Linked DNA regions of Lonchura striata. The protein of the gene in region 1 purifies or fractionates together with the protein of each later gene. This does not show direct contact. Links are inferred from orthologs where the notes say so. Each region holds a gene or a part of one and is shown in the gene's direction. Other genes may lie near its edges.

Region 1 (3,912 bases):
AGCTCCGGCGGCAGCAGGGCTTCACCGCCCCACGGCGGCGGCAGCGCCGGGCGGGGGGAGCCGGCAGCGCCTCACGGCACCGGGACCCGGGCAGAGCCTCACGGGCAGAGGATCCGGGCAGCGCCTCACGGGCACCGGGACCCGGGCAGAGCCTCACGGGCAGAGGATCCGGGCAGCCCTCACGGGCACCGGGACCCGGCAGCGCCTCACGGGCACCGGGACCCGGGCAGCGCCTCACGGGCACCGGGACCCGGGCAGCCCTCACAGGCACCGGGACCCGGGCAGCCCTCACGGGCAGAGGGACCCCGGCAGCCCTCACAGGCACCGGGACCCGGGCAGCGCCTCACGGGCAGAGGGACCCGGGCAGCCCTCACGGGCACCGGGACCCGGGCAGCCCTCACGGGCAGAGGGACCCCGGCAGCCCTCACGGGCGGCTGAACCCGGGCAGCCCTCACGGGCAGAGGGACCCGGGCAGCCCTCACGGGCGGCTGAACCCGGCAGCGCCTCACGGGCAGAGGGACCCGGGCAGCCCTCACAGGCACCGGGACCCGGGCAGCCCTCACGGGCAGAGGGACCCCGGCAGCCCTCACAGGCACCGGGACCCGGGCAGCGCCTCACGGGCAGAGGGACCCGGGCAGCCCTCACAGGCACCGGGACCCGGGCAGCGCCTCACGGGCAGAGGGACCCGGGCAGCCCTCACGGGCAGAGGGACCCGGGCAGCCCTCACAGGCACCGGGACCCGGGCAGCCCTCACGGGCAGAGGGACCCGGGCAGCCCTCACAGGCACCGGGACCCGGGCAGCCCTCACGGGCAGAGGGACCCCGGCAGCCCTCACAGGCACCGGGACCCGGGCAGCCCTCACGGGCACCGGGACCCGGGCAGCCCTCACGGGCGGCTGAACCCGGGCAGCCCTCACGGGCACCGGGACCCCGGCAGCCCTCACGTACGGCTGAACCCGGCAGCGCCTCACGGGCGGCGGGGCGGGGCCGCAGTTCTCCGCCGCGTCCGCCCGCCCGCCCCGCAGCGCGGGGCCAATGGCCGCTGGAGGCGCCGCGGCGGCGGCCAATCGGCGGCGGCCTGGCGAGCCGCCCGGCAAAATGGCGGCGCCGCCGGTGGCGGGACGGGCGCGGTGCTGCCGCAGCGGCCGCCATGCCCGGTAGCCGGCGGAGGGGGCTGTCCCTCGGGCCCGCCGCCCTGAGGAGGCGCAGCGGCGGCGAGGAGCAGCGGGCGCGGCGGCGGGCGGAGCTCCCCGCGGAGGAGGGGCCGGTGGAAGGCGGCGCGGGCCGAGGCCTGCCCGCCGGGGAGGCGGCGTGCTCGCCCCGCGCTGCAGGTACGGCGGGAGCGGCCCCCGGGGGCCCCGGGCCTGCCCGCCGTGTCTCGGACCGCGGGGGAGGCGCGGCCGAGCCGTGAGGAGGGGTTGGTGCGCTGTAAATCTCCGCTCGGCCCCTGGGAAGGAAGGGCTGTTGCTGTGGAGAGCAGGTTGAGCCAGCGTGCCCCGGGCAGGCCAGTGGTACCTGGCGTGCGGCGAGAAGAGCATTGCCCGCAGGTCAAGGCAGCTGTGCCTGCTCCTCTGCTCAGCCCTGCTGAGGCCACATTTGGGATACTGTGACCTGTTCTGGGCCCCTCAGGACAAGAGACATGCAGCTCCTGGAACAGGTCCATCAGACAGCTACAAAGTTGGTTAGTGGTTTGGAGAATGTCTTCTACGAGGAAAGGCTGAGGGAGTTTGGTCTGTTTAGCATCGCGAAAAAAAACAGAGGGTACACATCAATGTGTATAAATATCCAAAGGGAGGGTGCCAAGTTCTGCTCTAAATATAAATATCCAAACACCAGGTTCTGATCAGTGGTGCTGAGCAGTAGCACAAGAAACAAGCAGAAACTGATGCACAGGAAATTCCACCTGAACATGAGGAAGAACCTCTGTGCTGTACAGTGACCCTACACTGGAGTGGGTTGCCCAGAGACAGTGTGGAGTTTCCCTCGCTGGAGATATTCCACAACCATCTGGGCACAATCCCGTGGCCTGTGCTCTGGGATGACCCTGCTTGAGGAGGGAGGTTGGACAAGGTGACCCAGTGTGCTCCCTTCCAACCTGACCTATTCTGTGATTCCCACAGCAAATACTGAGAACTAACCGAGGAGAGGATAAAACCACTATGGCCATGCTAGGCACTTCAGGGCAAAACATCCTCTAAGATGTTCCTCCCGTAGTGATAGCATCTTTTAAATTATTTCTGTAGGCTTCCACATCCACAGCATCATTTCTAAAGGGCAGGGGTGACTAGCTGAGTTTCACATAGTGTGTTTAGTTCACTTACTGATCAAAGGCAGCTGCAAGCAGGTTTGAATAGCTATATTCCTGCTTTTAATAGTCCTAGCTGGAAGGGCTCAGTGGAGGAAATACAGACAAATGTAGGTTATGACCCAGAGTGGTTTGGATGCCCATTAAAAAAGTAGTTCAGCTCAGAGTCTGGGTGAAAGACACAAAGCAAGCAAGAATACAAAATCTTCTCTCATAGAGGTATACATAATTTTTCTCTTAATAGAAGATTAAGTCAGTGTTCTCTCAAGTGTAAGAACTGACATCATTACAATCAGTTCCTGGGTGCAAAGGTGTCAGTATCATGTAATTTTCTCTAATCTCTGTGGGGATTTAATTGGCAGAGTCCTGTATTTAATGTCTAGTTATGAACAGTATTCCTGTTGTGAGTAAAGCAATTCTGGTGTGTGTGAACTTGATTTTTATTCTTGATGTTCCCAAAGCATTTTCTTTTGCCTTGACGTGTTCTGTATTCTAAGTGATTTTTGCCTTTTATTTGTTGTTTTTTAATAAAGGTCCTCTTTGTTTTTACACAGAGCCATGTTTACATAAGACACCAAAGAGATCATTGAGTAGGAAATCCCGAATACCTACTTTCAGCTCTCCTATTAATGACACTGAGACACAGCAAGAAATCTTTTGGGATTCTCATTCACCAATTGCACACAGATTAGGTAATACCAAAATCCAAACTGCAGGACACTTGTTTGAGTGCGAGTGTAGCAAAAGTTATAAATGGTTCCTTGGAAGAAGGTTCTTTTCTCTTACAACGGTTGTTTGATTTTACTTTCGTTATAAACCTATAAATTCTTCAGTACAGCACTGAATCAATCTCCGATGTTTACAGGCCTATTTGAGTTATTTGAGATGTACTGCACTTCACAAACTGGATAGATTTCAAAATTTTAAGAAGTTTGTTTTTTTTCATAGGCAATGGAAAAAGCAAGCAGTCTACCAGTAGATGTGCAGTAGAAATTTCGGAAATCGTTAATCGTATTGCTCCTCAGGTAATTGTGTAATTGTAACTTTCTAAAACAATGCTCTGCATGTGTAGTAATAAAAAGGGAATAGTGCTTAAGTTTTAGCCTTGGTTTTAGTTACAGTAGTGTCATGGTAAGAGTTTGGCATGTAGAAAACTAGTTTATAGAATGGGATTGAATTAAAACAGTCAGCATAGCATTTACTGATTGTTGTGTGAGTCACAGATGCTGTAAAAAAGGACACATGAAGAAACTTGCAGCAGCTGTATTTTAGAAAGGTTTACTTTCAGAATACAAGGTTTACTGCCCTTGGTCTTAAGAATACTGTTTTTTTAATCCTTAATTACTCATCTGTTAAAAGGTAAGACTTTCTTCAAATACTGGATTTATTTGGCAGTTGTTTTTAAGCATTTTGAACGGTCTTGATTGACTGCTGATTTACAAGAACATGACTGAGATGAGAGATATTTTGCAATAATATAAACATAGTAACCTTGCTTCAATACTATAAATAATTTTCCTCTTTACCCCAGTATCTGCCCTTTCCCTCTTGCCATGAACCTGATGTCCACAGCTCAGAAAGTCGAAACCAAAGTGCTGTTGCATTTTA
Region 2 (3,912 bases), on another chromosome or scaffold:
GAAATGACAAACATATATTTTGCAGAATAAAAATAACTATCTCTGAATGAAATATAGCAATAGGTTCCCGAAAGCATTAATCTGAAATGGTTCAAGTAATTGAAACACACGTGGGCTGTTTTACATGCAAGCGACACAGCCCTAGCACAGTGGAAACACGCAAGAGAATTATCCTCCGAGAGGATTTTATTTCAACCCAGAAACAACGCTAAGCAAACTTCACAAACAAATGCATAAAGAGCCAGAGCTCATAGTAACAAAAACAAAGCTCAGAGTTGAGTGTCCCCTCGCGTACTCTCTCTGCAGTTCACACCTGCCCATAAGCCCTTGTTTTATTCTTTTTTCTCCTGAACGCTCGGGACTCGCTGCCCAGGTGGGGCCACACGCTCCCGCTCAGCGCCCGCCTCGCGTCCCTCCGGGGCTCTCCGCGGCACCTTCCGAACTCTACACACGCCAACGGCTCGCAAAAGAAACGTAACGCAAAGCAACATGTGCTCAGAAAGTAACAACAACAGCAAAAGAGAAAAGCTCTATCTTACACACGCTGCTCACCACTACCTGTGCGGAGGAGCGCCGAGCGCGCTCACCTGCCGAACGCGCCCGCCCGCCGGCTCCGCTCGCCCTCGGCCCGGCCCCGCTCCCGCCGGCCCCGGCACACGGCAGCAGCCGAGAGCGGCCCCGGCCCCGCTCCCGCCGGCCCCGGCACACGGCAGCAGCCGAGAGCGGCCCCGGCCCCGCTCCCGCCGGCCCCGGCACACGGCAGCAGCCGAGAGCGGCCCCGGCCCCGCTCGCTGCCCACCTGCCCCGCGGCCGCGTCCCGCAGCGCCGGCGCCCGCCGGGTCCCGCCACCACCTGCTGCCGCGGGCCAGCCCGGGCGGGCGGGGCGATGGCGGGGGCGGGCCGGGGGCGTTGGGGCCGGTCCCGGCGGCCGGCGGAGCTGTCCTGCACCTGACACCCGGGTGCGTCCCGCCGGGGCGGGCAGGCGGCGGGCGGAGAGGGAGCTGCACCGAGCGCTCCCTTGGCAGCGAAGTTTCTCCTCACAGCGCGGGCGCTCCCCTCCTCGCTTAAGCCACTTCCAGCGCTGCGGCGCTTCCTGTCGCGCATCCCGTACTCCGCCAGGCGCCCGCCGGGACCGTGTGGCCCCTCAGTGCTGCTGCCGAACCGGCCGAGGCCGGGCGGGGTGCGCTCGGCCCCGCTGGGTGTTACCTGTCCGTGCAGCGCTCCGCGCAGCAGAGCCCCGCCGGGGCGGCGCGGGGTCCGCGGGAGCCATCGGGGACCGATTCGGAACCGCCGCGGCCGCTCCGCGCCCGGGGACGAAGCGGTTAAAGCCGAGCAGCGCCGGGGGAGGAGGTTTGGGCCCCGCCGGCCGCCGTCCCGCCGCGCCCGCCCCGCGCCGCCCGCCTGATTCAAAGCGGCGCCATGGCGGAGCAGGGCCTGGGCATGGCCTCCATGATCCCCGCGCTGCGGGAGCTCGCCGGGTAGGCCGGGCCCGGCGGCCGCCGTGCAGGGCGTGTGTGTGCGGGGCTGGCTGCGCTGGGGAGGCGCGCCCGGCAGGTGTGGCGGGGAGGGGGACAAGGAGGTGTGCGAGGTGTCCTGCGGCCGGGCCCGCGCCTTCACCTGAGCTGGGCCCTTCTCCCGCCACCTGCCCGGTGCTCCTCTCTCCCTCCCGGGTGGCGCTGGCACATCCCGGCGTGAGCGGCCTGGTGCCTCAGAGTGCCCGGTCCGAGGCTGCGTGTGCTGTGAGCGCTCGCTGAGAGCCACGCGAGCTGCAGCATGCCGGCCTCTGCAGTGTTAATGGCAGCACGGGCACTGTAGCTTTGTACAGCAATAAACAGCGAGCTGATGTGGAGGTACAATTGTATACCGAAGATGTGACCCTACGAGACCTGATTGCTGTGGGACAGGCCAGTCACTAAAACAAGAAAATTGAAAAAAAACCCCAACCACGCCTCCCCCCACCTTCAAACCACTATACACCACCAAGAAAACCATTTATGTTTATTTTTGAAGACTTCTAGAAGAAAATGAGTGTTTAACATTAAACTGTTGAGATAGACTTCCAAGTTATTATTTTGTACTTTACAATTGGTAACATCAATATATCATTCTAATTGCAGTGCTAGTCCAGAAGAATACAACACAGTTGTGCAGAAACCAAGACAAATACTTTGCCAATTCATTGACAGAATTCTTACAGATGTAGATGTTGGTAAGCATTGCAATCCTCTAATATAAAACTGTCTGCTTTATACTTTAAGTAATTCCTGCCAAAAATAAAAGTTAAGACACTATTAAGAAAGTTTTAGTTGAATACAATGCCATTTTATTACCTAGTTTTTAATAAAGTCAGTGATGAAGTATTTCGCATTGGGATGTGAAGTTCCCTTGTAAATAAACCATACACACAGACCCCCAAGGAAGGAGGGGTGAGTGTAGTGCAGGGTTGTATGGAAACGAATGCTCACAACATTGAAAAGCAGGAGTGTCATGTAATGTCACTGCTATGAGTAACAGAGCTTGCAATTCTTAATATTCACATGTGTCTTTCAGAACTAAAATCTTGTCTGAATCTCAGATAGTTTCCTTCTTGTTCTAACTAACACTGGATAGGATCCCTGCAGGATCTGGATAAATCTGATACGAGTCAGATACCTGTTTCAATGGAGCAGCATTAGATATGTTCAGTGTTTTGTTAAACTTTCTGCTTCAGTAAGCTGACTTTGCCATTTAAAACCTTTTATATTCTGGGCATTTGAAACAATTCCCAGCATTGTTTTTTTATCAAGACTGTAAACCTAGGGAAATGTTAAGTATTTGCTGTTCTTCACTCAATACACAGTTGGATAGAATTTTAACTGAATGTTAATGCGTTTGGGGTTAATAATATTTAATAAGTAATTCATACTTTTCTTCATACAGTTTGGAGTCACAGAGAGGGTTACAATATGCATACAATTATCTTCATAGATTAATAAACATATTTTCAATAAATATTTTGAAGGGTTTAATACCATATCATAATATTTTATATTTTTTATTTTCTCATAAAGTGTAAGCGCAATTTTATGTGGTTTATTGCCATGCTGATTTCTTCTTTTTTTTTTTTTTAAGTTGCCTTGGAACTGATTAAGAAATCAGATTCACAGCCAAGTTCTGTGATGTTGCTGGATTTTATTCAACATATCATGAAGTCTTCCCCACTTATGTTTGTAAATGTGGATGGAAATCAGGAGGAAACTGAATGCAGTTGCATTGGTGAGTTTGTTGAAAATGTTTATGTTGAAGCTTGGTATTTTCAAGATTTAAATTTGCAACAGAATGGGAAAAAAGGCAGATATGTAAGTTGATCATTATAAATTTATAAGTTAATATGATGATAGACTTTGAATATTGTGAATGGATTAACACTTGTGATAATGGAAATTTCTCGGGACAGATTTTGACATTATCCATTACCATTGCATAGATATATCATTATATACTGTTGATGAGATATGGTGTACATGTACTCATTGCCTGAGGGTGTTTTTTGGACAGAGGAAAATGTCTAGAAATTCCACTGTAAAGTGTGTGTCTTACATTCCCAACCCCCATGTTCTTCCCCCTCTTTTTTTTCCTCTTTTTCAATGAGATCTGCTGAATAAATATCCCAGTGAAGACTCTGTTTACGATGCCTACATGCATTTCTCTCAATGTGTTTAGTTTTAGTGGTAAGCAATCTGCTCTTAGGGAGGTTCTCAGTTGGAGAGTTTAGTTTTTATCTTAATAATAAAGATTCTCTTTTATTGTCCTAGAATTTAGTAACTGGATCATAACAAGGCTTCTTCGTATTGCTGCAGCTCCAAGCTGCAACACATTGCACAAGAACATTTGTGATGTCATCTGCTCTTTACTTTTTCTGTTTAAAATGAA

Evidence for each region.
Region 2: the proteins of ETAA1 (region 1) and ATR purify together in Homo sapiens (affinity purification with western blotting; 3 studies listed by BioGRID, with this or other methods). This does not show direct contact. The link is inferred for Lonchura striata from reciprocal best matches to the Homo sapiens genes ETAA1 and ATR.

What each region holds. Positions count from the first base shown.
Region 1 is NC_134605.1:2,579,000-2,582,911, forward strand, and holds the start of ETAA1 (ewing's tumor-associated antigen 1), read left to right. Parts: upstream 1-1,149; coding exon 1,150-1,330; intron 1,331-2,858; coding exon 2,859-2,996; intron 2,997-3,252; coding exon 3,253-3,329; intron 3,330-3,912. UniProt on the Homo sapiens protein: Replication stress response protein that accumulates at DNA damage sites and promotes replication fork progression and integrity.
Region 2 is NC_134612.1:12,840,375-12,844,286, reverse strand, and holds the start of ATR (serine/threonine-protein kinase ATR), read left to right. Parts: upstream 1-1,411; 5' UTR 1,412-1,419; coding exon 1,420-1,478; intron 1,479-2,117; coding exon 2,118-2,209; intron 2,210-3,111; coding exon 3,112-3,255; intron 3,256-3,794; coding exon 3,795-3,912. UniProt on the Homo sapiens protein: Serine/threonine protein kinase which activates checkpoint signaling upon genotoxic stresses such as ionizing radiation (IR), ultraviolet light (UV), or DNA replication stalling, thereby acting as a DNA damage sensor.